Linked DNA regions of Mus musculus: regions 1, 3 and 4 are each reported to be linked to region 2. The links are microRNA targets in miRTarBase. Many come from high-throughput screens and were not tested one by one. Region 2 holds a microRNA gene; each other region holds the end of a gene's coding sequence.
What was found. Region 2 holds the annotated microRNA mmu-let-7b-5p (UGAGGUAGUAGGUUGUGUGGUU, at 3,883-3,904, shown strand). A microRNA usually pairs through its seed, bases 2 to 8, with sites in the 3' UTR of a target mRNA and lowers its output. Matches are read on the target gene's strand: a 7mer-m8 pairs with bases 2 to 8, a 7mer-A1 pairs with bases 2 to 7 and ends in A, and an 8mer does both.

Region 1 (7,121 bases), not on the chromosome of region 2:
TTGATAATTTCCACTAGACTCACACATCCACTCCCACATGAACTAGCAACCACTATAAGGAAGAAATGGAACTATGACTCTGCAAAAACATATAGGTGAATGTTTAACCCTGAATTCTTGTGTAGTTTAAAAGTTGAAATGAACCGGGCATGGTGGCGCACACCTTTAATCCCAGCACTCGAGAGGCAGAGACAGGTGGATTTCTGAGTTCGAAGCCAGCCTGGTCTACAGAGTAAGTTCCAGGACAGCCAGGGCTACACAGAGAAACCCTGTCTCGAAAAAAAAAAAAAGTTGAAATGAAGGTTTAAGGATGTAGTTTTAGTTAATAGAGTACTTGCCTAACATGCATGAAACCCTGAGCTCAATCCCTGGCCCTGCATAAATTGGGCATGGTGGCAGGGCAAATGCCTATAATTCCAGCACTCCAGAAGTGGATGAAGAAGGGTCAGATGTTCACGACCATATTCAACTCTATAGTGAGTTCCAGACCAGACTTGGATAGTTGATATCTTGTCTCCAAAAAAATTGAAAAACAAAACTCTGGCCCTTTAACTGCTCAAACTGTGGTTCACCCAAATGTGAATTATTGTACAGCATCGAAAGGGAAAATTATTGATAAAAGCAACAGTGGTCTCTTGAAAGCATCAAATTGAACAAAAACAAGACTCCTGTTGAGGGTTGTAGGCTACATGGGTACACTGATGGCAACACTCTTCCAGTGACTAAACTCAAAACCCTGAACAGGAAGTAGTTTACACACATTGACATGGGTTGTCAGGAAGAGGCAGAGTCTATAGGACTATAGTTGTTGATGATAGTCTAGAGTCAACAGGAGGGATCCTTCAGCTAAGGAGGCCTATGTCCTAGCTGGGGTAGTGAAAAAGACCCATGTGGTAAGTAGGCCCAACACAAGCACTTAGATACTTTGTAGGCACAACACAAGCACAAACATTTAAGAGTTCAAGGAGCTGTTATTTTTAACAGCTGGGTATGGAACCCAAGACACCGTTTTTGGTTTTGGTCTTGGTTTTTCAACCAAGACACTGTTAATACTAGGCCAGTACTCTAACACTGATTGAGTACATCCCCAGTCCTTAGAGTCTGATAGCCACACTGAGGTCAGCCAAGAAGCCCAGCCCAGAGTGAAGCCAATGCCAGAAAGAGCCACAGGCCTCTTGGATGCCTCTGGGCAACTTCCAGTAAATCTGTGGTTTGTACATGTAATCATAGCTATGTGAGTGGCTGAGGCAAAGGAACACAAGTGTGAGACCTTCCTGAAGTAAATGACATCTAAGAATGCAGGCGGTAAAAGGAGGATTGAGCGGGTTGTTGTTGTTTGGGAGTTGGGTGTTTTGTTTTGTTTTTCGAGACAGGGTTTCTCTGTGTAACCTTGGCATATCTGCTTGACTCTGCTTTCTTAGTGCTGGTATTAAAGGTGTGCACCACCACCATCTGGATTGTTTTGTTATTAGCAGGGGATATAAGCAGCATTCTTGCAAGCATCCCAGCACTAAAAAGAGGGGAGAGGGAATGGATGGAATATACTGAAGCCTCATGTTATGGGGTCTATTTAAATGCAACATAACTCAAACACCAGACTTGGGAGCTGAACGTTGCATGGCCTATTTTAAAGATGAAACCATTAAGAGTGGGTGTGGTGAGGGGTGGCATTGTTCAGTAATATTTTGACATAAGGGTTGAACAAGAGAGTTTCCATCAATCAGGATAGTAGTTGGTTCCTTGGCCTAAGAACATGAATTTAGTATGGTTCTGACAGCAAGATAGAGAAGTCGTCCTTGAGATGTCTGGACTCAGATAACTGTTTTCTTACAAGAGAAGTTGTTCAACTATTGGGAAGTTCCTAGCTCTCATAGGGCCTGGGACCTTGAGTTTAGTTTCTCCCTATGATTAAATGGAATCTGAAAATGAAATGGTAGTACTTGAATAAGTTCCTTTTCTTTGTTCCCAACATTCAGAAGTGCAGAAAGCCACATCTGAGGACTAAAACCTCCCGATACGAAGACAGCAGTGGCCAGGACAAGCAATGGGACAGTTAATTGGGCAGAAAAGGCATCCGTCGTGGGAGGGTGGCAGGACTTCCGTGGCGGACTTGGTTTCTTATTGGTGGAGCTAGTCAGCCTCAGAGAAAAGTGGAGAAATTCCTTTGTAGAGCTCAGCCTCCGAGGTAAAAGCAGGGCGGGGTCGGTCACGTTTGGCAATGCCTTCTGAGTCGCAGGCGGTGTTCTTAACCTTTTGGGAGGTGTTAATTCCTTCCCTGGCGAAACCTTTCTCAAGGGCCAAGGCACTGGCAACCTTGTAGATGCAGGTCTGCTGATTCTCTTTCCCCACAAAACTCATTCTGAGAGGTAATTAGGCCCTGAAGGTCCCCAAAAGAGTTATTTTCTCACTATGTCAGCTGGGCCTGGGGATCTGCTCTGATCTGGGTGTTGTGGAGAAAGAACATACTGGCTCTATTTGGGAGGACCAGGAGGCAACCATGGAGGACACTGGCCTACACTGCCTTGTCTCTGGTAATCCTTAGCAGGCACCATGACTCAAACTGGTGTCCTCTTCCTTCACCTTCCAGTCTTGGGACCCTGGTTGATTCCCCTCCTGCCACCCAGCTGAGTCTTCTTTCCTCTCCTTCAGGCCCCAGTTGCCAGGCATGTACCTGGACATTTGTTCCTCCACTGACTTCTATAGCCCTTACCCCCACCCCCAGATGTCTGTGGCCTCTATGGGCTATTTCCCAAATCACCTGCTGCTTATCCCCTCTGTTCTATTCCCAGCCTTGGCCTGGGCCAGCCCTCTAGAAGCCCAAGGGGCTACTGGTCAGTTCCTGGTAGGGTTTAAACGCTGTGACCCCACTGCTTCAGGGAGCTCTGCTGAAGGCATTGTCCCCCTTTCCTTATGGGAGTGGGTGGGGTTTTGAGCAGAGTGCTGGGCTGTCAGGCTGACTAAGGGAGGAGAAATGGTCAGCTGGGCCTGCCCCCTTGTAGTGAGAATTTTCATTTCTTTAAAACCCCAGTTATGTTATGCGAATATGGTTTGGTTTTGTTTTTATTGGATATTTTATTTATTTACACTTCAAATGTTATCCCCTTTGCGGATATCAACCGATATGGTTTTGCTTTAATCCCAGGTATAGGATAGGGGGCTGCTTAGAATTGCCCACAGCTACTAACTAGAATTGTCTTGTGCTCTAGGAGGGGCATGATTTTTGAAGATAGTATATATAGTATATGCTTGGGACTCTGAAGACTCTTGAGAGGGTATAAGTGCAAGAGCCCCAAGCAGGTTGTGGTGGCTGCCGCGCTCCCCGTGCTGCTGCTGCTGCTGCTGCTGCTGCTGCTGCTGCTGCTGCTGCTGCTGCTGCTGCTGCTTTTTCTATTGCTATGGCTATCTATGGCTATGGCTGCTGCTATGGATTGCTGGATTGCTGGTTGGAGATACCCTAATGAGACAGCTTCCCCTTCTACATAGCTAGCATTGGCTTGCCCCAAGGAGCCTGACACTCATAATCAGCAGGAAGTAGTCTGAAGATGTCTATGCCCTCTTTCCCCTCTAACCCTCTTTCTCTCCCATCTAGTACTGGGGGGCTGGAAGGGTGGTAAATATAAAAACCTAATAAAGTAGCCCAAAGAAGTACACCTCAACCCCTGCTTTGCCCTGCCCTGAGTCCGGCCTGAACTTGCAGTCTCTGGGCCCTGCTTCCAGCTGGAGTTAACAAACCCATTTCCCTTCTTGGTCTCACTGGGTGGGAGGACAGGCTATGGAGGGCATTTAGCCACGTGACCTTGACTTCTGTGACCTAGGCTTCTGGTGCCTGTTGGCCAACAGAGCCAGGGCATAGCATCACTTGTGGTTGCACATTTCCACCCCACTGCAGATTCTAGGCCATGTGGCCTGGCTGGGCAGTCAGCTGAGGAGGTCACAAAGATGCACCTGGCCTGCTTCTTCCTGGTAGCCTCCAAAACCTCCTGTATTTCCTGTATGGCTGGGTCTTTTCCAGAATGGAATAAGTGGGGCTAGAGAGATGGCTCAGTGTTTGAGAGCACTTGCTTCTCTTCCACAAGACCCAGAATTGATTGATACCCAGCATCCATATTATGGTGGCTCACAACCCAGACCCAGGAGAGCCAATGCCCCATTCAGGCTTCTGTAGGCACCAGGCATGGATGTGGTGCACAGACATATGCAGGCAGATACTTATACACATAAAATAGCTCATTCTTTTTAAAGGACCCATTTGGGATGGTAGGCATACTTGTGGGTGTCATATGCCTGGCTCCTGACCAGTATGGGGCACCCATCTCTTTTCCTTTTGCCTCCCTGGCCATATATCTTCCAGTTCACTGCCTGGAGCCTCTGACCGGGTATACTCAGAAGCCTGTCCCATCCGCAGTCAGACGTCTTCTGCTCACCACCACCCCTACAGCCCAGGTGTCTTAGCACCCTGTATAGGATTTAGAGGCAAGGAGACAGGGACCCCTGCTTAACCCAACTCAGCCTTGGACAGTGACTCCCCTGAGTAACTTTGCCAGGCATTGGCTTGAGAAGAGGATGTGAAGGGGAGCCTGTGTAGGCAGAACTGGTGCCAGGACTGGGTAAGAGGCTCTGGGTGATTTCAGGGCATGGGTGTCCAGGGTGCAGAATCCTAGCTATGTAGAAGGGGAAGCTGTCTCATTCCTCCTCTGTTAGAGCTGTGCCTCTTTGGACTTGCCTTTGCTACCTTTTGTCCCCTGTGCAGGTGGGCAGCTTCTGAAGGCTCCCAGAGTGTTGGCCCCTCCTCTCTATCCTGGCTGTTGAACAACAATAATACCAATGGACTAAGGGAAGGACTTTTATCTAGTTGCCTCTGCCGGTCTCCTCGCCAGTGTCTTCCTTATGTGACTGGCAGATTCACAAAGTGAAGATCCAATGTATATCTGTTTCTACCTGGTACCAGTGTTGCAGGTTGCAGAATCTTCCAGAGTCATGGGACTGAACTATTAGCTCAGTAATACAGTCCTTTCTCCCTTGTGTTCTTAAATGCCTAAGCTTTGGCAAAGTCCTTTGAAGTCTTACCTGGCAGAATTTCAGCATAGGCCATGGCAAGTAATCAAGTACTAGGAGCTGAGAGAAGATTATGACCCTTCCTGGCCCTCACCTACAGATGAGTTAAGTCATGGCACTGAACCTAAGAGACATGCCTATGGCTTGATCAGTTTCAAGGAGATATCCTAGCCATTTGCAGGTTTCATTGGGAGCTGGGCCTTAGGACATTAATTTTGCCTCTAAAGGACCTAATGGTGCAGAAAGGAGTTATTGATCCACTGTACTTACTTATAGCAAGGAGGCGCAATGACAAGTCCCATTTAAAGATAGAGATAGGTCCATTAAGAATACCTAGGACCAGAGTAGTGTGCTTACCTCAAGAGTGGGTACCACCACCCCCTTCACTGATAGACAAGATATCTACCCTGTTGTGGGAAGGGGAATTTGTAATGGTGTCTTATTTAAAGGGTTCATAGCAAGCCAGGCATGGTGGTTCACCCTTTAATCCCAGCACTTGGGAGGCAGAGACCACCTCTGTGAGTTTGAGGCCAGCTTGACCTACCCAATGAGTTCCAGTCTATTCAAGGCTACATAATGAGACCCTGTCTGGAAAAAAAAAACCTAAAATAAATAAAAGCGCTGGTATCATGTTCATGATATGTAAGAAATGGCTATGCCCTGATGCTATTTCAAAGACTGTTCACTATTAGGGATCACCAACAAGCTAGCAACGAATCTTCATGCCCTACATTTTGACTGCTTGATCCCATATGCCATTCTAGGCACACCGTATATCCCCCTCTGTGAAGCAAAAGATCAAGTACAAACTGTGCTACTCAGAGGTCCCATGGCCTATGTTTTTTGCCTTGTTGGTGCCCTTGCTAGTTTGGCCTTCCATTACTCCTTCCATGAAAGCTACATTCACAGGACAACGGAAGCAAAATTTTATTCCTCTTGGCTGGGAAAGAGAACTAGAAGGTGGTTGTACATAGGACTTCCACCTCCCAGAACCAAAGAAGACATGCTCTGCCACCAAATGGCTCCCTCTGCCCAAGTGAAAGCCCAGAGACAGGTGAACACAGTGCAGGGCAAGGGCGAATGCAGTGAAGAGCGGCCAGAGTGATCCAGGGAAGGGAGGGTCCAGGGCTCAGGAAAGGAAAATGGGGCTTCTTGGGAATAGGACAGGTGTGGGGATGCTCATTGCCATGGGAGCTTCTAGCTGGCACAGGTGCCAACTTAGGTGGCAGGCTCAGGGTACCATAATGCGGTATGGGCTGCCTGGGATATGCTCATCACCCCACTTGACCACCAGTGTGTACTCCCCTTTGTCCTTGAGCAGGTAAGAGACACTATAGAGGCGGCTGCCCATGTGTTTCACCAGGATCTCTTCACAGGGTGTCCTTGGGCCATGCACGCCCACCAGCAGCATGTTGTTACCTAAGGCAGGAATAGGTCTCAGTGGCCTTAGATCCTTTCTTTGTCTATAATTGCTCTGAGCCCTTCTCACTATTCCACATTCTGTTCCTTGCCTGATTATTAACATTCCCAAGCAAGCATCTCATACCCCAGCCTTGCCACCCAGACCACCAGAGGATAAATTACAGCTCCTCCAGGACATTGGTGTTTTGCCTGCATGTATATCTGTGTAAGAAAATAGAGGAGGAAGGAGAAGCCACCATGAGCTGGAGTCAAGGGCCCTGAGAGCTGCCCAATTGGAGTTAAGAGCAACCCAAATGAAACATAGTAAGTAATAACTTGGGGTTATCCATAGGAAAATAAATTCTAACAACATAGAGAGTAGTATCTGCCAAGCTCTTGTATTGTTTAAGGCTTACTGTAAATATAAAGATCATGTGTGTTTTTAATCTGAGAACTAATCTAAGGTGGGGTAGAAACCCTGGGTAAAACAGTAGGGATTAAATAATTTCTACAACAGATCCCATGAAACTGGAATTACAGACAGTTGTGAGCTGCCATGTGGGTGCTGTGACTTGAACCCCAGTCCTCTGAAAACTGCTGAGCCACCTTTTCAGCAGCCCCACTCCAGGACATTTTCTTGAAGGGTAGAAAGGAAAGTACGAAGG
Region 2 (7,121 bases):
GAGGCTTTGTGGGTTGGGGGCAGGGCTGATGGGCGCAGTGGGAAGGATCCGAGAAAGGGTGTCAGCGTGACAGATAGCTCGGCTGTCTTGGGAGCCCATGCGAGGCTGGTAGTCAGGGAGGGGGCTTTCCCACCCTGTGTGTCCTCACCAGACCCTCAGTAGCCAATGGGCTCATCTTCCCATCCTTGAGTCGTGGTTGGGGGAGGGGGGTGTTAACAAGGCCTGCAACAAAGCACTCCGGCTTGACGGACAGAAGTGGGCAGATCCTTGTCTCCATATTCTGTACCCCAGGCTCAGCTCCAGAGCCCTTCAGCTGGCCAGGCTTCTCCCTCACTGTCCCCATGTCCCTGCTTGGCCTTCCTTCTGTCTTACTAATGGCTCTGCCATGATGATTTGGGCCCGAGGGAGGTAGGATAGTGACTTGATTCATGGTGTGAGTCTGTAGTCCAGTGAGCCCTTTCTCTGGGTCTCTGCTCTTTGGGAGAGTTCAAGCCCCATTTGCCCTATGTCCTAGGGAAGTTGCACGCGGGCCACTGGCCACCCACAAAAACACGCTTGCCCACCATGGGTGAAGTTGGAGCATAGTCTCTGACCCACATGCCCAGCACAGGGCTGAGCTTAGAGGCCGTTCCATCCAAGGCTTTGCATGCAAAGTGTCACCAGGCAAAAGGCAGACTGGATGAAAATGCCATTGTGCTATAGGATCTTAAGGAGTGGCCAGGGGAGGCCACCAGGGGCCAGGCTTTCTCCCTTCTGAAGTTGATGATCATTGCTTTTGTTTCTAACCCCCAAGGTGGTCAGGAAGTGGAACCAAGCAGGAAGTTCTGCATGCCTATGGCTTCCCTGTGGTAAGTAGGGCCCCAATGTCCTTCCTCTGGAAAGTAGGGAGACTTGAGAGTAAGGAAGGCTAGGGTCAGAGGCACATCCCTGCCAGTGCTCCAGGACCTGCCCTCAGCTTAGATGTCTTTACCTAGAGGCTTTGTGCTCCCCCCAACCCCTGCCCTCAGTATTGTGCCCCACCCCACCCCCCAGCAATCTACCCCAGATGACACATCTACCCATGATATGATATGGTGACTTTTGACCCCGTATCGGCCTACTTAGACTGGGCATGGCTTAACAGAGGTGCAGTTCCATTCATCACCAGCTCCAAGTGGAAGAGACGTAGCCTCCCAACCTGAGGACAAGGTCACCGAGCCCTGAGAGACCTCTGGGGACCTCAGCATGAGGTCCCTCTCTTTTCTCTGTACCCCGGGCACCATCACTTAATCCCCCCAGTGTGATCCTGCTTCCCCCAGGCCAGGCCACTTGGTATCAATGGAGGATCTGCCAGAAGGTCTTGCCTAGAGAAAGGCCAGATGAGGGAGACAGAGGCACATCTGTTCCCGTGTTGGGCTAAGGCACAGTGCGTGGTGGCCCACTGTCCTTGCTAGAACTAGGGTGCTTGTGTCCTGGTGTTTCTCTACCATAGCTTGGGCTCTGCAAGGCTTCTGTTGCAATGAAGCCCAGATTCAGGGAGGCTCACCAAGTGCAGAAAAGGCGCTTTGGGGCTGACACAGTGGCATACACCGGCCTCCTGCTGCTAAGTAGAGTGGCTGAGAATCCCCAGGGGCCAGCCAAAAGGACCCCACGGAAATGCATGATGGTGCCCAGAGTCAGAGGGGCCAGTCTCGACCTTCCAGCCAGACCTGCCCACGTACTTGTATCCTGACAGCCAAGGGCAGAACCCGAAGTGTTGAGAGACCTGGGGTTGATGTCTGACCTCTTTCCTCCTTCAAAGTGCTTCTGGGGGCGGAGAGGGGGAGGGAGGTGCTGGGCTCAGATGGAGATGACCAATGTGGTCTCTAGCTATTCCACCACATCCGGGCACAGCCTAAGAACCGACGAGATTAACCATGGCCAGTCAAGCCTACAGAGAGGCTAAGCAGTGTGGGACACCCCTCAGCCTTCTCACCTGGGCCACCCATCATAGATAGGATCACCAAAGGGGCCCTTCACCACTCTCTTCCCACGCCTCTTCTGCCTTGCTGCCTCTGCAGGGACCATCCTTGAGGGTATTTGACCTGCCTGTTAGTGAAAGGGTCCAGGCTTGAGGCAGGGGATGGCACCCCAGTGGCTCAGATTTCCTTCTGGGGCTTGGAAGATTAGTGTTTCCTATCATCACAGGCCTGCCCACCACGGGCCAGGCCACACCAGCGCTCTGGGAACCTTGTTCCTAAGCTCCTCTGCCCCATAGACTCCGGATCTGGGGCCACAATGTGGACTTAGACCTAACGGCTTCATTTTGACCCAGGAGTTTTGGACTTGTCCCTTGACCCTTGGCAGAGAGGAAAGGAGGCGTGACAGTAGACGCTAGGGCTCATGCAGAGAGCAAAAGCTGCCTGGCTTCCTAGGTCTGGGCACAGGGCTTCCCTCCACATGCTGGGCAAACCGGTCTGAGGCCTGAAAGAAGCAGGTCTTTTTCCCTTCTGAGAGCAGAGCTACCTGAGACCAGAGACTGAGCCTCAGTTTCTTCAGCGATCTCTGCTGGCCTCTGGAAGTGCTAGTCGTTAGGGACAGACTGGCCATGAGTGTCCAGCCAGGGTCTGCACTTGCGCCCGGCTGGCCACCATGGGGAGTTAGGCTGCCTCCCACAAGGAAAGACTGTTTTGAGCCTCCCCCAGCAAGGTCAGCTCAGGCCACCCTGAGAAGAGGGAGGGACAGAACCAGAGCCCACGAGGGGGGGGCTCTTCCTGCCTAAGGGGAAGAGGGTACATGCCCAAGGCTACTACTTAGCAGGAGTCCTGGTGATTCTACTACGCTAGAGTTGAGTGGACAGAGGCTGGGTCTCAGCCAGGTGGACACTGGAAGCACCCTGGACCTTGGTGGCCTTTAACAAATGACACCCTTCCCCCATTGTGGCCATTCCTGTGCTCAGTGCCCCGTGCTTTCTCTCTCTTCTCCCCGTTTCCCCGTCTCCCCGTCTCCCCTTACTCTCTCTGTGATTTTGTTTAAATGTCCCTGGCCCATTTTGAGAAAATCCCAGTCTATTAATACCCTCAGCACTGAGCGGCCTGTGTCGGGGGTGGGGGGTGGGGCTCACCATGTCCCCAGCTCTCCTTCTTCCTCTAGGAGGGACCTCAAGAAGCCACAACATCCAGCTCTACGCCAAGACTGACTGACGGCCTTTGGGGTGAGGTAGTAGGTTGTATGGTTTTGGGCTCTGCCCCGCTCTGCGGTAACTATACAATCTACTGTCTTTCCTGAAGTGGCCGCAATATCTGCAGTGGATACAACGGCGGCCCTGGCTGGGGAGACTGAGGGAGGGACAGGGGGGTGATAACTACCATGCAAAAAGAGCCTGACAGAGACCTTGGATAGTCCCTTGACCTCTCTGGGCTGTTACTCATCTGTATAAGGGTTGGGGCATAGCGATGAAAACAGACAGCATTTTCAGGGCACCTTCTCTCCCTGGCCCACACTGAAGGGGCCTTCCTGCCCCTGGCCCCATATCAGACCTGTGCTCACAGGTCTCCATGAAAAGAGGGTCTGGACTAGACCTTCAACTATGTTCCAGAGTTGCCCAGGCTTTCCAGCGCAGGGTCAGGCCTCTGACGAGCAAGCGTCTCTTCCGAGAAGAAATTGAAAAGGAGCCATTCTTAGCACACCCATGAGTACAGCCTGCAGATGGACCGTGTAGGCCACTGTCCCCTGTCCCTGGGGCAATGGGTTCAGACACCAGAGGCTTCCTCAATCTGTTTGGTAGGCACAGGCCTTTCTCACTGAACCTCTGTCTCCACTTCCCCCTCCCCCACCCCGCCCTGTGCCCTATGGCTCTAGTGGCCTGTGGCCAGGGTGGGTGGGGAGCGGCTGGGCCTCCTCCAGAACACGGACACCGCAGGGTGAGGTAGTAGGTTGTGTGGTTTCAGGGCAGTGATGTTGCCCCTCCGAAGATAACTATACAACCTACTGCCTTCCCTGAGGCGCCCAGGGACACAGCTACATGGAGGCCCCCGCTCAGCAAGCTAAATGGAGCCACAGATTGGGTGGGGGCTATGACGTGGGACCTGGGTATAAATAAAGGATGTTCTGTCATGAACTTACAACTGGTCTTTGGTCATTTTGGAAATACGGAGACTGGCCGTAGAGGACATGAGATCGCCAACCACACATTGACACGTTTGCATGCATGAAACATTGCCAGCAAGAGCTGCTCTGGGTAGTGAACAGTACCCTCCCCTCATCTTCCATGTGCCCCTTAGTGGCCCAAGCCCTGGACACCCAAGCCCCTCCACATGAGTGGAACAACAGACCCTATGACTCCAAGTCTCAGAGCACAGTACTGGCTTCCAGTGTCCCTCAGCCTGTGGTCCTAACCAGATCTGAGAAATTCCTGGCCTATTGTCCCTTCGTGCCTGCCTCCCTTGGGACAGTATTGGGACGGCTGTGGATGTAGCTTTCTAATCTTGGGCCAAATGGTCATATACCCTTCTTCCAGGGACCCCAAGCCTTCATTCAGGTGGTGGTAGTGGGGTGAGGGTCAGCCCTCAGCTAGTGTTAGCTTAGGAAGGTAAAGTCCTAGTCTTACCTGACCAGACACCAAAGGCCTCCCTCGTGGGTGGATACCTTGACCCTGATGTCCTGGCCTTCTCCCCATAATGAATCCCCCGAGTCCCAGCTCCCGTCCTGAACCCAATCTGCCTCAACTCTGCATATCCACACACCTCCATTGACGCACCTAGGCAGACCAAACACCCCTAGAGCCCCTCTATATCCACCCTCAGCTACCAGACCTCTCAAACTTAGCCAGCCATTTCCAAAGATCTGATACTGTGCTAGCCCCAGGGTTGAGAGTACCCAGAGGGACTCTCTGAGTACTCTCTGAGAGCAACAGGGATGGCTTCCCAAAGTAGGGGCTATCTGAGCTGGGTCTTGATGGCTGTATAGGAGTTGGCAGCTAGAGACACAGGAGTGGACACTCAGACACTCCGTGGCATGCCCCATTGTCTCCTCCCTGCTGTCCTTTGGAACATCGATGGTGGATGATAAATTGTCACCTTTTTACCTCTCTTTATCCTGTAGTCAGTGGTGAAGTCTGTTGACTCTTGCTATGCCTCCAGCCCTAGAGGAGTAGTCCTTCCTCCCCTCCCTTGTGCAGAGCTTTGCCCACTCTTCATCCCTTGCTGAATTAGTTAAGGTTTTACTGCTGTGAGCAGATGCCATGACCAAGGCAACTCCTATAAGGACAACATTTAATTGGGGCTGGCTTACAGGTTCAGAGGCTCAGTCCATTATCATCATGGCAGAAGAATACCATGACATAGGAAGAGCTGAGAGTTCTACATCTTGTTCCGAAGGCAAACAGGAGAAGACTGGCTTCCAGGGAGCTAGAGTGAGGGTCTTAAAACCCATATCCACAATGACATACTTCCCCTAACAAGGCCACACCTCCTAATAGTGCCACTCCCTGGACCAAGCATATACAAACCATCACACAGCCTACCTTCCATACTCTTCTGCACAGCCCAGCCCCCAACCCTTCACCCTCACACAGGCCCACCCTCTGGCTACCACAGCCAGCTGTGTCTGTGCAAGCAGAATGACATGCTGGCCAGTCACACCCACCTCCTGGCTCCTATGCTGCAGTGGGAGATGGCCTCTGCTCTGCAGAGTTCAAGTACTAGGGACACAGGACAGGACACACGGCGACCACCCAGTGGGGTAGCGTGGGAGCATCCGAGAGCTCTGAGGTGCTCTGCAGTCAGGGTAGCTTCCTGGAAGATGACCTCTGACATGTCCTGTGCCCCTCTCTACATTCTGTTGGCTCTTCTCTGACAACTGACTGTCACTAGAGATAGGGGTGCATGTGGGGATCAGGGTGGGTACGACACAGCATTCAGCAGAGTGGAAGTTCTGGGGTGCAGGGGAGTGGTTCAGCCCAGGGAGACCCTGTGCTCACTTCCCCACTTCCACAACCTACAAAGGAAGCAAAACACTTCCACTTAGAGGGTGGAGTCAGGATTCAAGGGCACCCCAGATTGTGCCTCAGGGAAAGTACCCAGGAAGGTCCTGGTCCCTGGCCGGCCTTCTGCTGCCACCTGCTGGCTAATCTAAGAAGTGACTCCTGGGGTTGTTAATCAGGAGCCAAGGAGATGCTGCAGGCTGGAGGTCCTAGGATACAACCCTCCGGGCAGGCTGGGACTGTTATCACGATGTGCATAAGTGTCTTTGAGGACAAGGTAGTTCAAGACCAGCGAGGAGAGCAGGCTGGACCTTGGGTGGCCCCAACACATGGAAACTGGGCTCCACACATCAGCTGGAAACCCAGGCAGCATGCAGAAGCCTCGCTGAGTCTTACAGAAGCAAGACTTGCACATCCTTGCCCCACCCGGGATGATTCTCCAGAGATAGAGGGTCTCCTGGGGGTGACATCCGTAGCAGTGGCAGAGCCAGCAGTAGCTGGCAGGAGGGCGGAGGTGGGGGTCTCAGGAGTCACAGAACTATATCCAGCAGCTTGAAGCTGAGACCCACGAGGATGTCAGTGCCCCTAAACAGCCTTACTTCCTTTAAAAATAAAGAAAATTGAACACAAATATCAGATATGTAATATATAATGAATGCTACATATAGTATGATGATCAGTATTAATACATACTATGTTTCATAGAGTGAACCCAGGCACACGTTCACTGCTTCCTAAGAGGAAGATACCCAATCCTGTGCAGAGTGACCCAGCAGGAGTCCCTGTGAGGTTGTACACATCTGCCTACACCACTCCTGACAGACACATACCAGGGGGGATTTGTGGTGTGTGTGTGTGTGTGTGTGTGTGTGTGTGTGTGTGTGTGTGTGTGTGTGTGCAGAAGGCTGTAGAAAAGCCAAGCTTAGGCCCAGGGGAATATTTCTGGAGGCAGCTCTGGGAAGGCAGCCCTGTTTCAGTCAGGCTCCTGACCCATCCACCGCCTCCACTGGGTGGTGTGCTTCCCAGCAGCGACACCGTGTGGCAGCAGGAGACCATAGCAACCAAACTGATCACACGCCCCGCCCAACCTCTGCTCCACTCAGGTGGTGATGGGGGCGGGAGGGGGGGGCGGGTGGCGGGGCTCTTCTGGCCTCTGCCATCCTTGGGTTCAAGGATAAGT
Region 3 (7,121 bases), not on the chromosome of region 2:
GGACTTAAAACTTTCCCCCATTGTTTTAATATTATTTTCTTGTGCTTATATAAATGAATTTCCATAAGTATCATATTCTGATGCACTATTTTTAAAACCTAAATGGTAATATTAATATACACATTTGCATAGTCTTTTATAGTTAAAAGAAGTGTAACACATCACTTGAATTGGTTCATTTTTATAGTCTATAAGCATGTTTCCTCCCCCCACCCCACCCCCAAAAAAAACCCCAAACACTATGTCAAAGGGTAGAAAACCAATGCTTTGAAAGCCTATGACATAGCCTGAAATTCACCTTTGATTTCTTGTCCAGTTAGAGCCATGCAGAAGTTTTTATGTTCTTTTCTGGTACCCATCCTACTTGTCCATGATATTATGATCCTTTTGATCACAGAGTGAGCCCCTTCTTGCTGAAGAAGGAGAGAAAAAGGAGGACGAAGAAATACAAGGTGCCACAGCTCACTGCCCCCTCTCCACTCAACTGTCAGACCCGGATGACTTCACTGGCCTTGAAACATCCAGCCTCCTACAGCATGGAGACACTGTCCTTCATATCAGTGAGGAGAACGGCACGGAGAATCCCCTGCTGTCCAGCCAGTTCACTTTCACTCCTCCCGAGCTGGGAGACACAGACTCAGCACTAGATGAGTCCCACGTTTAGTTCTGTATCACAGGAGCTCTGCACTCTACAGAAGACTGCTGACGATAGAATGCTTCTGATGAAAATTATTAATTCTAAAACAGCACTTTATAGCCTGTGGGTGGCATTAAGTCTGAGTGTATTTTGCTGCCAAAACTCCTAATGTTTCAAAAACATCTTAAAAATCAATAGCTAAAAGTCTTTAGTTGTGTGAAGACTGTAACAGGGAAGAACAAAGGGAAGAGCCGTCTCACTGCACACTGTGTATAGCTTGCTTTGAGCAGCTAAGAATATACTACTACAGACAGTTAAGAATATTTAATATTACTGCCCTCATAATACTGATAAGTTCTAAAAGGGAATACAGTCTCTTAAGATACTCACATTATACATCTCACAACAATGTTTATTTTTGTAGTTTCAAAATTTTACATTAGGTGGCTATATACATAGAAATTTACATATAAACAACCAGCAAGAAAAATAATTAGAAACTAAACTATAAACCCTGCAGCCATTTTTGTTTGGGTCAATAATATAGCTGGTTATTTAAAAAAAAAACGTACTATTTTTAGAGCCGTGGACTTTTCAAAATTTATTTTTTAACTGTCCTTTCACTACATCCTATAAATCAAAATTCTAATGCCACATATCATTCCATTTCATATCTACTGTATTAGACAGAGAATATCTAGAATCTCAGATATGATTCTGAATTAATAACATAGACAGCTATACAATTATGAAAAAGCTAAATGTAAATAGCTTTGCTTGAAAGAGATGGCATTCCTAATTCTACCCATGATGACATCACCGTTCGGATTAGGACCTATTGGGAAAGAGGATTGCTTTCCCTTGCTGTCCTTGTGCCTGCCCCTGAGGGCGTATTTTCATACATTAAAGTTAAATTGTTAGAACTAGATCAGAAATTAACTTTTTCTCAGTTGTCAAATATTCTATGATCCTTAGGAGATCACAGTTAATGAAGGAAAGTCAGAGTAATCAATTTCTTTATAGACTCAGACAGCTTGTATATATTACAAATAGGGCTTTAACTTAAAGTGCAGTTACTTCAAAAAAAAAAAGAATAAAATTTGAAAGGCTTGTCAGGCCAGTACTTAGTCGATTATTGAAGGGCTGGACATCATGCAGTTCATAAACATTTTTCAAAAGTTTAGCAGTTTACATTAGAGAAATGTAACTACTAAACCCTGAAAAAAATCTCATAACATACCTACATCGATGTGTGTGTGTGTGTGTGTGTTAGTCTTCATGTAGAAGTTAAACAGAGATTTTGATTATGTTGAGATGAGTTTAAAATATATTCTATATGCTTAAATATTGACTATGTTGGCTATAAAATGTATACTATAAAGAAAATACCTATAAACCCATACAAATAATAAAGGAAACGATTTTTATGTTAGAATTATTTATTAAATGAGCACAGTGACTTATAAAATCAAATATATTTTGGGGCTATGATCCCATTCACCATGAGAATGAAAGGTAACCTATAAGTTAACTAGGATAAAATTTAAAATCCCCCAGGTCAGAAAATCAGGGCAGAACCACCTTCTTGGCCTTTTGGCTGAGAACATGCATGGGAAATCCAGGAGACAAACAAACCTTCTCTGTGTTATAACACCTTCACATCATTTATACTTAATGTGCAGTTCATTTCTAAGTGCAAAAGTGGACATGTAAGTGGTTTTCTGGTTCTAAGCTGATATATTTTGCCTGTTAAAAACTATGCTGCTCAACTAGCATTAGAGGCCTTATGTTTGGTAATTACAAGTGTCTGAGTTGTGTGCGTTTATATGTCTGTGCTTTGTTCCCTCTTTTGGACTTGTGATTCAAAATCTCTATAATTGTGTCAGATATTTAAGAAGTATAGAGGTCAAAGAATTGTTAAATACTCAATAATAACCCTAAATACCTTTATATATTTTAAGTGTGTTGGGCTGTTTGAGAAATGATTTTATTGGTCTGTCTGCCTTTTAATCTGACTCCTTCACTCTCGTGTATGGAAGTCTATTATTAACTTTTTCAGTAAGCTAAGTAATGTTTTATCTTGGAAAAAAGAAAAGACATGACCACTCTGAGAAATGGGGACTTACAGAGTGGGAGTGCTCTCGTCTTGGGACTTTTGAGATTTCTCATCTATTCCATTTATTGTGTCCTTAAACGTGTTGAATGTTTATGTGTGGTAACTAAAGTATATGTATGTGCATAAGACTGTCACAAGATGTATTCTCAGGAATACTGTTACCTGGAGTTTGAAGGAATAACTTAAAGAAAACAGTTAAGATAAAAGTTCAAGTTAATTGACAATCTTTTGTAATATTCAAAAATGTGACAAGAACTAATTATCACTTTTGATCAATATATTAGTAAAATTAGATTATATCTTAATCTGTGATGCTTAATAATATTTATCTCATTCAGAGGAAGGATAAAACAGGCACCCACTTTCCAGGTATTAAACAATTACATCCAATTAAAATTGCTCCTTTGGAAAGCAACTTTATAGAGAAACCTTGAGAAATAAAAATACATCATCCATGATAGTGAGTACCCATGTGTACTATCCAGATTAAAGCAGCTTAAATCCTGGATGCAGAATTTTCTAGAATAGACATTTTTCTTTCATTCGCAGCATTCAGTGTTTTCTATAATTCTATTAGATTATTTGATTCTTATGACAAGGGAAGTGAGTTACTGAGTGCGTTGGAACAAGTCACTGAGAACAACACTGTCAAGGGGTACCACTGGGCACATGGCAGTGCTGGAGGCATCTGTTGGTTTTCTGCTTCAAGCCTCCAAGAGTAACTTAAGCCAGGATGGCATCTCTCTTTTAGCATCTGTTCTTTTAGTCAGTGAAGAACTTTCTCCACTTTGCTGCCCACTCCTAGAGTTTCCGAGGAAATAATTGAGTGTGTACTGAGATCCATAGGGAAGAAAAGGTCATAAATGAATAGAATTATAGTCCAAAACATGAACTAAGTACCTTCCTTGAGTTACACAGGATACTTTACCAGAGAACTTTCCCGAATTTGCTGCTGTCACATAGAGTCCCACTTTCACTCTGTGACCTCACACTACCAATCCATGGCCTTGTGTCTCAGCAGTGAGTAAACTAGCCCACTTCCTCATTTATTTTTGTGGGTCTCAACTGCAGCATTTTAGAAGCAAACTTTGATCTGACACTCAGGAGAATAAACACAAATAGAGGGCAGAATGTATTTGGAAAAGTTTATGATAAATTTACTTATATTATTTAAAGATCATTTAGGATCATAAATCTACGTACCTCCATGATATTTTTAATAGTCACTGTGACCATGGGATTAAAGTCCTTTATTAGCCATTTTGTAGGTGAAGACAAAGGATTGACTACACAGCCAACTTCCTTCAGATGACTATAAAGTCTGTTATGAATACTGAATGACCAAAGAGCATGGAAAATGCATCTGAATAAATACTGAGATGTTTATGAAAGATATTTATGAAAGCTAATGATTTCTGTGTTTGAATATGCACATATAATAAAATAAATCTAAGATCATTTAATGTGCTCTAATTTCACTTCTTTCCATTGGGAATGGGATAGCTCATTCAGGATCATTTTTCAAGACCTGGTCTGTGCCTTCCTTCATCTCTTGTTCTTCAGACTTCCACTCTAAAGTGGAAGCCTAAAGCCATTTTTAGCTTAAAGTCACTAATGGGTAAACACCCCCAGTCCCTCTACCGCCATATTTGATACCTACCTACTTCTGTTTCTCATCTTCTATCTTTCAAAATAAAGCAAAATGTAGATATGGAAGACAGCAAGCCAAATTGACTTCACTGCCCGGATTATGACCCGGAATGCTGGTATATCCCCAAGTCAGAATATTAAAGACTATTGTCTTCTAACTGTGTCCCCTGCAGAAACCATGGCATCTAAATTACCAGCATGCTTTTAATAAAACTATGAGAGCCCTATCCTTGTTCTTTAGGAATTGCTCTTGTTCTATCCACGTGTATCTTCATGTACCTTTTCATTTTTTCCTGGCCCAGACTCTGGATACGTTTGACATTACGCCACTTATCCATTTCAAGAATTATGGCTGGATAGCAACTCTATCAGACTGGCTATGAAAGACCCACAACGTGAGGACTCCCCCACGTTCTGACTCAGGAGAGGCGACACCCCAAATCACACAAGAAACGGTCTTACTGCAAACTTATTCAAGAGGGCTCTCGGGCCCACGGTCATACACCACGCAGGGGTAGAGGTCTGTGGCACACCGATTAGCTGGGTAAGGAGGTATTTAAAGGAAGAAACCACAACTCAAGGAAGTGGGGAGGGCTTTGTTGGAAAATACCAAAGATACCAGTTAAGAGTCCCAAGGAAGTGCAAAGTCACAAGAGTCACAAGGAATACCTGGTAATTGTTCCAGTTATCTCTCAAGACAGTTTCTAAGAGCCCCTAACAATAGCACATTTGCATAGCAATGGTCAGGGTGACTTTCTTTGAATGAACACTCTTTGAACCCAGGAAGCGGGTGGGTGGAGGAATGTCGCTATCTGTTTTATGATTAGCATCATTAAGTCACAGAGGTCACATTCCCATGCCTGGGCCTAAAGGCCTAGAATTTTGTTTTTACGTTATACTTTCAGCTACTGCAAAAATTCCTACACTGAGTACTCAGCAGTCACCAGTTATCAGCAGCTTGACTAAGGAACATCTCAGAAGAGAGGACTGTAAGAGACAGAGGGTGGGGGAAGTTCAACGGAATGCTGCAATTAATGATTGCATAAGCAACTGTGGCTCCCTGCACAAAACCTACAGACACGTGAGGTGAAGTTATTTAAGTAGGAGAGGAGTTAATTGGGAAGAAGGGGTCAGGAGGAGTGGCTGGGGTAAGAAAGGGTAATGGGGTTGAATATGATCACAATATATGCTATACGTGTATGAAACAGAGAAAAAAATAAAAACAAATTTCCTACATTGTAGGTGGTAGTCTAGCTGATCAACCCGTAGAACTTCTTACATTGTACTCAATAAACTATTTTCCCTTTCAAAAGGAAAAGAAGCCAGAAGATCCTTGGAAATCCAAGACAGAAGGCAGAAGCTCTGCACCTGGCTCCGCCCCTAGCCAGCCAGCTGACGCCCCCCCCCCAGGAGGAGGCGGGACTTCCTCGCCGCAGGGCAGCTGCTTCCGGCAGAGTCCGGAAGAGAGTGCGAGGTGGGAGGGGGCGGAGCCAGTGCGGCGCGCCCAATCGGGACGGAGTCTTGGCTGGCCCGGGCTCTCGTGGGCTCACTCGCTCTAGGGAACCGGCACCATGGCGTCGGGCTGCAAGATCGGCCCGTCCATCCTCAACAGCGACCTGGCCAACCTGGGGGCCGAGTGCCTGCGCATGCTGGACTCGGGGGCCGACTACCTGCACCTGGATGTAATGGACGGGTAACTCCGCGGGGCTCGGGGCGGGCTGGCCGCGCGGGTCGGCGTCGCTGCACCTCAGCGAGCGCCTGTTGGGTGCACGGCGCCCCTGTGCGACGACGGGCTGCCTGGCCAAGCGCGCTGCCGAGGGCACCGAGCCGGCCCTGGCTGACTTTGGGGCCCGGTCCTTTCCCCGCCACCCCGTAACCTGTGGTGATAGGACCCGGGAGCCACCTCCAGTGTTCAGGATCTTCCTCTGGTGAACTCGTAGAGAAACTGAGGCCCAACGGGACAGGCGCGACTTGCTCGATCGAACTCAGATAACTAACTAGTTCTCGACAAAGCCGGCAGACAGCCTCAGCTTGACACCTGGATGGGCTTCCGGAGTTCGACCACTTGCCGACTTGTCTTAGGCAAGCCGCTTCAGCCTTGATTGGGACTCGGGTTCAGTGTGAGGAAAATGGAAGGATTATTGATCATAGAACGCTTCCGCGTCTTGGGGAACTTGAAACGAGCAAGTCCAGTGCCTGGCGTGTAACAGATTCTCTGCAGTTGTTAGTTGTATCGAATAACCCATTCGAATTCTGATTTTCCTGTCTATTTTCTCTTCAGGCACCCTGCTCTTCAGGGAGGTCAGTTTTTTTGTAAGTAATTTTTAAGCACTGTAGTTATAATGCTCAGAATCAGGGTACAAGTTTCCTAAGTTGGTTCTAAAGTGAGGAAACAAACCTAGACCCAAAGGAGGCTGGAGGACTTGCTCAAGATTACAGAAGATTGTGACAGACTTGGAACTTGAATCTTCTTGGCTTTTTGACTAGCATTTCCCACCGAAAGTTTACATAAAATTATAAAAGACCTTGGGAGTGAGATAGAAAAATAAATTTATTTCAAATAAGCAAAATCTGTTTGCCCTCAGTCACATTGGCAAATATGTGTTATTTACATCAGTTTCGTTTCTTGTTGGAGGTTTTGCTGTTCTTTCTGGTTTTTTTGAGACAAGGTCTGTATAAATCTTAACTGGCCTCAAACTCAAAATCTTGCCTCAGCTT
Region 4 (7,121 bases), not on the chromosome of region 2:
TTTCAGAGGGTAATAAGGACTCTACTGGCAACTGAGCTAGAAGTCATTCATGTTACCATTCTGGCAGAGAATCTGGCTGCTGAAGAACTGAAGAATGAGGCTGAGTTAAAAGGTAATGAAGTAAGTTATCCTAGTTCTTGATCTGTTTGCTGTGAAGAGACACCATGACCGAGGCAGCTTATAAAAGCAAGCACTTAACTGGGATATTGCTTACAGTTTCAGAGGGGGAGTCTATTATCATCATGTTGGCGGGAGCATGGCAGCAGGCAAGCAGGTACGGTGCTGGAGCAGTAGCTGAGGGCTTACATCTGATCCACAACCAACAGTCAGAGAAAGAGAAAAGGCCTTGGCCTAATGTAGGCCTTTGAAATCTCAAAGCCTACCTCCTTCAACAAGGCCACACCTCCTAATCACCAACTGGGAACCAAACATGTATGAGTGAGTCTATGAGGGCCACTCTCATTCAAACCACTACAAGCTGTTTAGCAGTGGGAATTTCAAAACACCTTAACACCTAGGCTGTCAAATGACTCCTGCTTACTACTCTTTCTACAGTGAGAATGAGCAGAATATAAAAAAAATATAGTTTGTCAAGAAAAGGTATGTGACCAAATTAAAGACGCAAACAAGTTTGGTACAAAGAGAGCAGCTATAATGCCCTTAAGAGATTAGTGCTGCAAGAGAAATCTCATGTTCTGAACTGGGACAACAGGAATGGAGCTCTGAAAGCAAGACACACACACCCCCCCCTCTCCCATGATGACTCTACTTTGTGAAAATGCAAATTCATCTGAAGGGAGAGAACTTGATGTGAGAATGCTGCTAAAGGAGTTCCCTGCTGGAAGGTAACTTAGATTGAGGTTTGAGCTGTGGTAGAAAGGGGACAGACTCGATCTCAAGCTAGAGCAGAACTTAGTAGCACTCTCTACATAGCACTGGTTTTGCAGACAAGCAAAATGCAAGTTCTATGGTCATGAAGGCCCATCCAACGTCCAAGGAAGCCATGGAGGCCAGGCAATGCATGTGAAGGCCAGATTACCAGCAAAGAGACTGAGAAGCCACTGTGTGAAACTGTAAAGAAGATTAAGTTGCAGCAGAGACCTGCTCTATTTTCCTGTTACTGAGATTAAATTCAAAAAGGCAATTTGGGAGAGAGGATTTGACTTACAACTTCCAGGTCATGTCCCATCATTAAGAAAAAATAAAGGCATGAACCTGATGCATAAGCCATGGAAGAATATTGCTTGCTGGCTTGTTCTCAGGTTCATGATTACTTAGCTTTCTTATATAGCCAGGGCCATCTGCCCAGAGAATGGTGCTGCCCATAGTGGACTGGGACCTTCTATATCAATTTAGACATTCTCTCAATTGAGACTCCCTTCTCAGGTGACTCTAGGCTGTGTCAAGTTGACAGTTTAAGTAGGACAAGACTCCATTATACAGCCATTTCCTGAGTTAAAACACCCCATTGGTAGAATGAGCCTCCCTAAGACACAAGAAGTTCCAACTTGTTTCATCCTAGAGCAGCAGTTCTCAACCTATGGGTTGCAACCCCTTTGGGAGTCAAATGACCCTTTCACAGGAGTCACGTATCAGATACCCTGCCAATGAGATATTTGCATTATGATCCCTAACAGTAGCACAACTATATTTATAAAGTAGCAATAACATTTTATTATGGTTGGGTGTCAGGAACTGTATGAAGGGTTGAACTAGGGAACCACTGTGCTACAGGGAAGCTCCTAAGGAACCAACTCACGAGTCTCAGTGAGTTCCTGGAAGCAGCTCCATCTGTAGAGGACTGGGGACTGTGGAGAAGGCTGCTGCAGGGTCAGAAGCTACCTACCCATGTTGGGCTAGCTCTACACCTGTAACAGCCATTCCATGCTGTGTTAGAACATCCCCGTGACTAGTAAAAACCTTTTGGCATCTACAAACTAAGAACGTCATCAAATAGCATCTTGGACCTATACAAAAGCGTCCCCATCTCACTGTAACCACTGTTCTAATATACCCACCATACTGCATTTTAAACTTGCCTTCAGTACCAGTTTCTTTATTCTGCAAAAATTCTCAAACAGCTTCCATGTTGGACCATGGAATTTGGGGTAACCTAAATCTGTTGTTTCCCAGCCATGGTCACTCAAAATGGCTCTAGAATAAACTTGTATTCCCTTTAGATGACCTGCAACAACATTTAATATATGAGGTAATAGGCAAAACAAGATCCAGCCCCCTGTCCTTAATTGCTGGGGAGCCCAGACAGAAATCAGAGTACTTGCAGAATTCAAGAGGCAGAGGAGACAATCAAGAGATGCAGGAAGCTGCTGAAGTTCCCATTGCAATAGACCAGAAGCTGAAGCGACACTTAACACGCTTCAGAAAAGCAGTAAGAACAGGAATACAAGACCAACCTGTACCTCCCAAACTTGTATCTGTCATCCAGTAAGAATTTACCAAGCATGCATCCAAACCATCCTATAGTGTGGGTAAAAAATTCAATGGAAAGTAAATGCTAAATGTTGGAATAGCAATGCTATGGAGACATTAAAAATTACTATAATAAAACCAAGCATTCACACACAACTACAAAACAACTATGTAGAGAAACACACCAACATATTACATCAACTACAGACATACCAGAAAACACGATAGAATTCAAAGGGGGGAATTTTAATTAATTTCATATAAAGCCCCAATGGGACTATGAATCAATTTCTAGCAATCTCTATAAAACTATAATCTCCATCAAGGCAGAGGGTGTAGACCTACCACTGAAAGTTGGAAATCTTCCAAATATGAAAGTCAGAGATACAACACCTTAATAGATCTATAAACAAACACAAACAAAACAAAAAACCCAAAAAACAAGGAAAACTACAACACAGCCCATAATAGTCAATTTGCTTAAAATCAGTAACAGAAGAAAACACGTACAGAACCAGAGATGCTAACAGACTTGTTATAGAACACAACTGAAACAATGGGCTAAAGTTTATAGATATGTATGACAAAAAATAAACAAACAAACAAAAAACCTTAGATTCCACATTCAAAATTCTTTTAAAAAAAAGTGATTTACTACCAATGATGTATCATGAATACAATGGTTTTTGCACTGAAAACAAAATACAATTGAAGTCAGGAGGCAAGATATACAAAAGCTGGATTTACCAACAGACACACTAACAAAAAACCAAACACTAGTGAATTAGAAAGTGCCAATACATACCCTTTGAAAAACAAGTACCCAAGGGCTACCTACAGCAAGTACACAGAATGGGGAGAACACACAAAACCTATCCCACCCTCTACTATTTACTCAATAACCTATGTCAATGTCTTAGGAAGCTTGCTATAAAGTTTTATGTAATTGCCAAATGATAAGGCTAACAGGGAACAAGAGGCAAAGCAGTGAATCCAACCTTTCATCCAGACTTGCAGGGGAGCAGTGAACAACTTTAGTGTAACTCAAGTAATCAAATATAGATGTTCCTGCACACGGTCCAACAGAACCAGACTCCACAGCAGCACATGACACGCTAATCAGAAGCAAAGTTTTACTCCCTATGTACTCAGAACTAAAGGGTAGGATGTAGCTGGCAAGATGGCTCAGTGGAAAAGGGTACTTGTCCAACAACCTGTGTTCAATCCTTGGGACCCACAAAGTTGAAAGAACAACAGGCTCCACAAAAGTAGTCCTGTGACACACTCTCTCACTCACTCTCTCTTGGTTAATGTGAGCTAGACGCATGCCCCTTCCATCAGCCCAACCATCAATCATTCCCATGGTTCTGTTCTCCACTAATTCACAGCCATTAGTTCCCATCTATATACCAGTCTACAGGAACAAAAGAAACAATGGACAACCCAGCCTCAAATGGACAGGTAAGGCAAACACAATGTTAATTTCATAATCAAAATATGACACTTTTGATCAAGAGACTAATAAACATTTATTTTAAATCAGTTTGGTACACATACATATTAGTTTTGTAGTTTAAGGAACTCAAATAGAAACTTCTAAGTCCAGCAGTGTCTGCTTGTGCAGCAAGTATGGCAAAGGTAAAATAAGGTATTTGATAGAACTAGATCCTCAGGACAAATCAGATGAAAACTCTGAAAAGGCTTTTATATACCTTCTGGATTAAAAAACCCAAAATCATTAATGGCTCAAAATACCTTGCTAAAGAAAGATGGTGAAGAGTCAGGGCAGCAGTGAATTCTGTGGCAAGAGCTTTTGTAGAGACTTGCAAAATGTCACTAACTTCCTACAATGTTAGAGCAGTGCTCAAAATTTCAGGAGCTTCAAATTAAGTTACATTCTTAGAAAACTTGCTACATATGCTGACATTTATATGGGGCAAGGAGTCACATGGAGGTAAATGACAAACCAATTTTGCCACCTTTATAAGGAATGGAAATTCTGTGTACTTTTAAAAGAACTTTAGCACTCACTTAAAACTAACAGCTACAGCACTGAAATAGATTTTTGTGAGGAACCTAGAAATTACAATGGAAACATAACTGTGAGGTAAACCTATCTTTCCCCAAAAACCTTTGAAGTCAGAGTTTAAACAAGTAAGGCACTTGAAAACATTAGATATATGTACAAATGTGCAAGTGAAACAAACTAGCTGTACCAGCAAGTGACAAAGAGATAGATTCATTAGTTTCACTTTATGAACCAGCCCACAGCAATCCGCTGTTTCGTATATAAACCCTGGGAACCAAGCGCTGAACTCTGTAACCAAATGAAAGCCCCAAACTTGAATGGCACAGGAAACCAAAAGCCTATTTCCAATTACAGCCTCTAGACGTGTGCAGTGTGTCAGAGGCAAGGGAGAAGTAACTCCAAAACTGAAAACTTAGTGCTTTCAGAAGCAACTGAAGTAAAAGTCTGCATGATTATAATGATAGCACATGGGAACTGAAACCAAGGAGGAAGAAAAGAAGTAAAGGCCCAAGGAAGAGAAAAGCCTATTCAGCCAGGGTATCGTCATTGGAAATCTAGAGCAACCTCTCTCAAACCCTCAGATTTTTTAAGTTACACAGGTCACATCTATTAGAAAACAAAGTGATTGTCTCATTTAAAGAACTAGAAAATGATTCTATCTACAACTACTTCCTTCTTGCCTCATGTAAAAGCCACTTTTCAAGAAAACCTGGTAGGAATCCTTAAGGTATAATATTTGGATACTTTGTGTACAGAGAGAAAGATAAATCAATTTTATGTCTAGTTTAACAGCCCTAAGAAAAATGTTAGATGGTTTGATATAAGGAAGCCTTTCAGCTCTAATTATTCTTTAGCTTCTATTTCTCAGCTCTAGAAAAAACAATGCTTTTAATTAAATATTAACAGTATGTTATCTATAAGCAGATTTCTGCTGCTCACATCAACAGTTACATTCTCAGACCAAGCTTTGCCTCCCACAGTGTGAACACATTTTTCACGACGTCTCAGTCTGTCTTAAGGCACTGTTCTGATTTCTTAATACGGTACACTTTATGAGTATGAACAAGACCTGTTGCAGATTAATGTCTGTGTATCCTTTCTTTAATCTAAATCTGGATTGCCCTGTGTGGCATCTTATTTCTAATATATAAAATACAACTTGTCAAGCATAAAAATTTACTCTAGGGATAGTTTAGTGCTAAACAAATTTAATCTATGTTTGAAGTGATGGCCCTCAATCTGCCTGACGGGTGGTCATTTGGCACTCTTCTCAATTCTGGCCACCAAGTTACACCTGGAACTAGGATGAGAATAACAGCCTTTAGGATTCTAGGGGACTACATTTCAACTGCAGTCAGAAGCTGCCTACACAGGACAGCACTCTCCACCACTTACAGAAGTTACATTTGGCATGTCAGAGGAAAAAACAGTCCCACAGCAGCAGCCATGGTAAACAAAGACGACAGCCACACGGATTCATGCAGAATATTTTAAATATTCCTGATGAACTAAATGGTTTAACTGACTTTTCTTCGAGGATGATGCTCCAAAATATCCTGTATGCATCCTTTGGAAAGGTAAAGATCCTGGAACAGCGTCTTCCATGTGGGACTTCTTCAATATTTTGGTTTCAGTGAGTTGCACAAGTTAACTGCCAGTCCACATTAATTTAACAGGTCTGTTTACAGAGTATGGTAATTTCGTTCTTTAGATTTGCAGAACTTATAGAGAAAGAAAATTACAGCCTGCACACCCAAGACAAGGACGATCCCTCCAATGAAGCTGGCTGCATCAAAGGTCGACTTCCGCTCAGGCTGGGAGGTTGGAGTCAGTGTGGTATTTGTTGTCCCTGCTATGATGATAAACAAAGAATCCTCAGTAAGTATCATGGTATTTATAATTCCCAGACCCCCCAGGCATCAACTGTGCTCCGAGTTATATTCTATACAGGTCTTCCTGAGTCATGTCTTCATAACTAGAATTTATCTCCACTTAAGGCAGAATGCCATCCATCATTCTGTCCAGGACATGATAAGGGTAATACTGCTACAAAGTTTCAAATAGGTAAGAGCTTTTATGGCATATAAACTGTCCCCTTGAAAACTTATCAAATACTTCTAAAACATGCGATAATTTTGTTAATCTACTTTGGTTAATTGTTAAAATAAATGCTTGTTAAAACTTTTTGGTTTTACTAGATAGACAAGGTATTTAAAAATTGAGTTGCTGTTTTTCAAGTTAACAACAAAAATAATAATCTATAATTTCAAAAAACAAAATAACACATAGTTGTAAATATATTCAATAGCATTCTGCTAGTTTATTTTGCATCATGAGAAAGCATTATATAGCCATAAGAAAAACAAATTTGAAAACTAGAATTCCTACAAACAACTCATAAGAAGCTAAAAGTAATGTCAGTTTAATCAATCAGAAGACCATGGAAACTAACGTTACTAAGGGAGTAATATGTTTCAATAGGAAACAAAAAGGCTATGACTGTGTTCAACATTTAAATAAAGTACACTTCACTGTTAAACTAGATCCGAGTCGCTGGGCGTGGTGACGCACGCCTTTAATCCCAGCACTCGGGAGGCAGAGGCAGGTGAATTTCTGAGTTCAAGGCCAGCCTGGTCTACAAAGTGAGTTCCAGGACAGCCAA

Region 1: miRTarBase lists Flna as a target of mmu-let-7b-5p. The part of its 3' UTR that is shown has no 7-base or 8-base seed match.
Region 3: miRTarBase lists Unc80 as a target of mmu-let-7b-5p. The part of its 3' UTR that is shown has no 7-base or 8-base seed match.
Region 4: the mRNA of Cd164 is a reported target of mmu-let-7b-5p. Seed matches in the 3' UTR shown: 7mer-A1 at 4,534-4,540.

The regions. Positions count from the first base shown.
Region 1 is chrX:74,217,504-74,224,624 of GRCm38, forward strand. Flna (filamin, alpha) reads right to left here. Exons shown (of 46, transcript NM_010227.3): 46 at 5,958-6,474. The coding sequence ends at 6,287. Among named protein-coding and RNA genes, the nearest start is that of Flna, 25 kb to the right of the region's middle.
Region 2 is chr15:85,703,443-85,710,563 of GRCm38, forward strand. It overlaps Mirlet7b (microRNA let7b), which reads left to right and starts at 3,877; the gene lies at 3,877-3,961. Lncppara (long noncoding RNA near Ppara) reads left to right here and starts at 331. Exons shown (of 2, transcript NR_110483.1): 1 at 331-848; 2 at 3,112-4,082. Mirlet7c-2 (microRNA let7c-2) reads left to right here and starts at 3,161; the gene lies at 3,161-3,255. Gm34622 (a long non-coding RNA gene) reads right to left here. Exons shown (of 3, transcript XR_384306.3): 3 at 5,429-6,543.
Region 3 is chr1:66,694,933-66,702,053 of GRCm38, forward strand. It overlaps Unc80 (unc-80, NALCN activator), which reads left to right. Exons shown (of 65, transcript NM_001368824.1): 65 at 398-4,218. The coding sequence ends at 664. It overlaps Rpe (ribulose-5-phosphate-3-epimerase), which reads left to right and starts at 5,899. Exons shown (of 6, transcript NM_025683.3): 1 at 5,899-6,096. The coding sequence starts at 5,975.
Region 4 is chr10:41,527,862-41,534,982 of GRCm38, reverse strand. It overlaps Cd164 (CD164 antigen), which reads right to left. Exons shown (of 6, transcript NM_016898.2): 6 at 3,941-6,311. The coding sequence ends at 6,142. Among named protein-coding and RNA genes, the nearest start is that of Cd164, 12 kb to the right of the region's middle.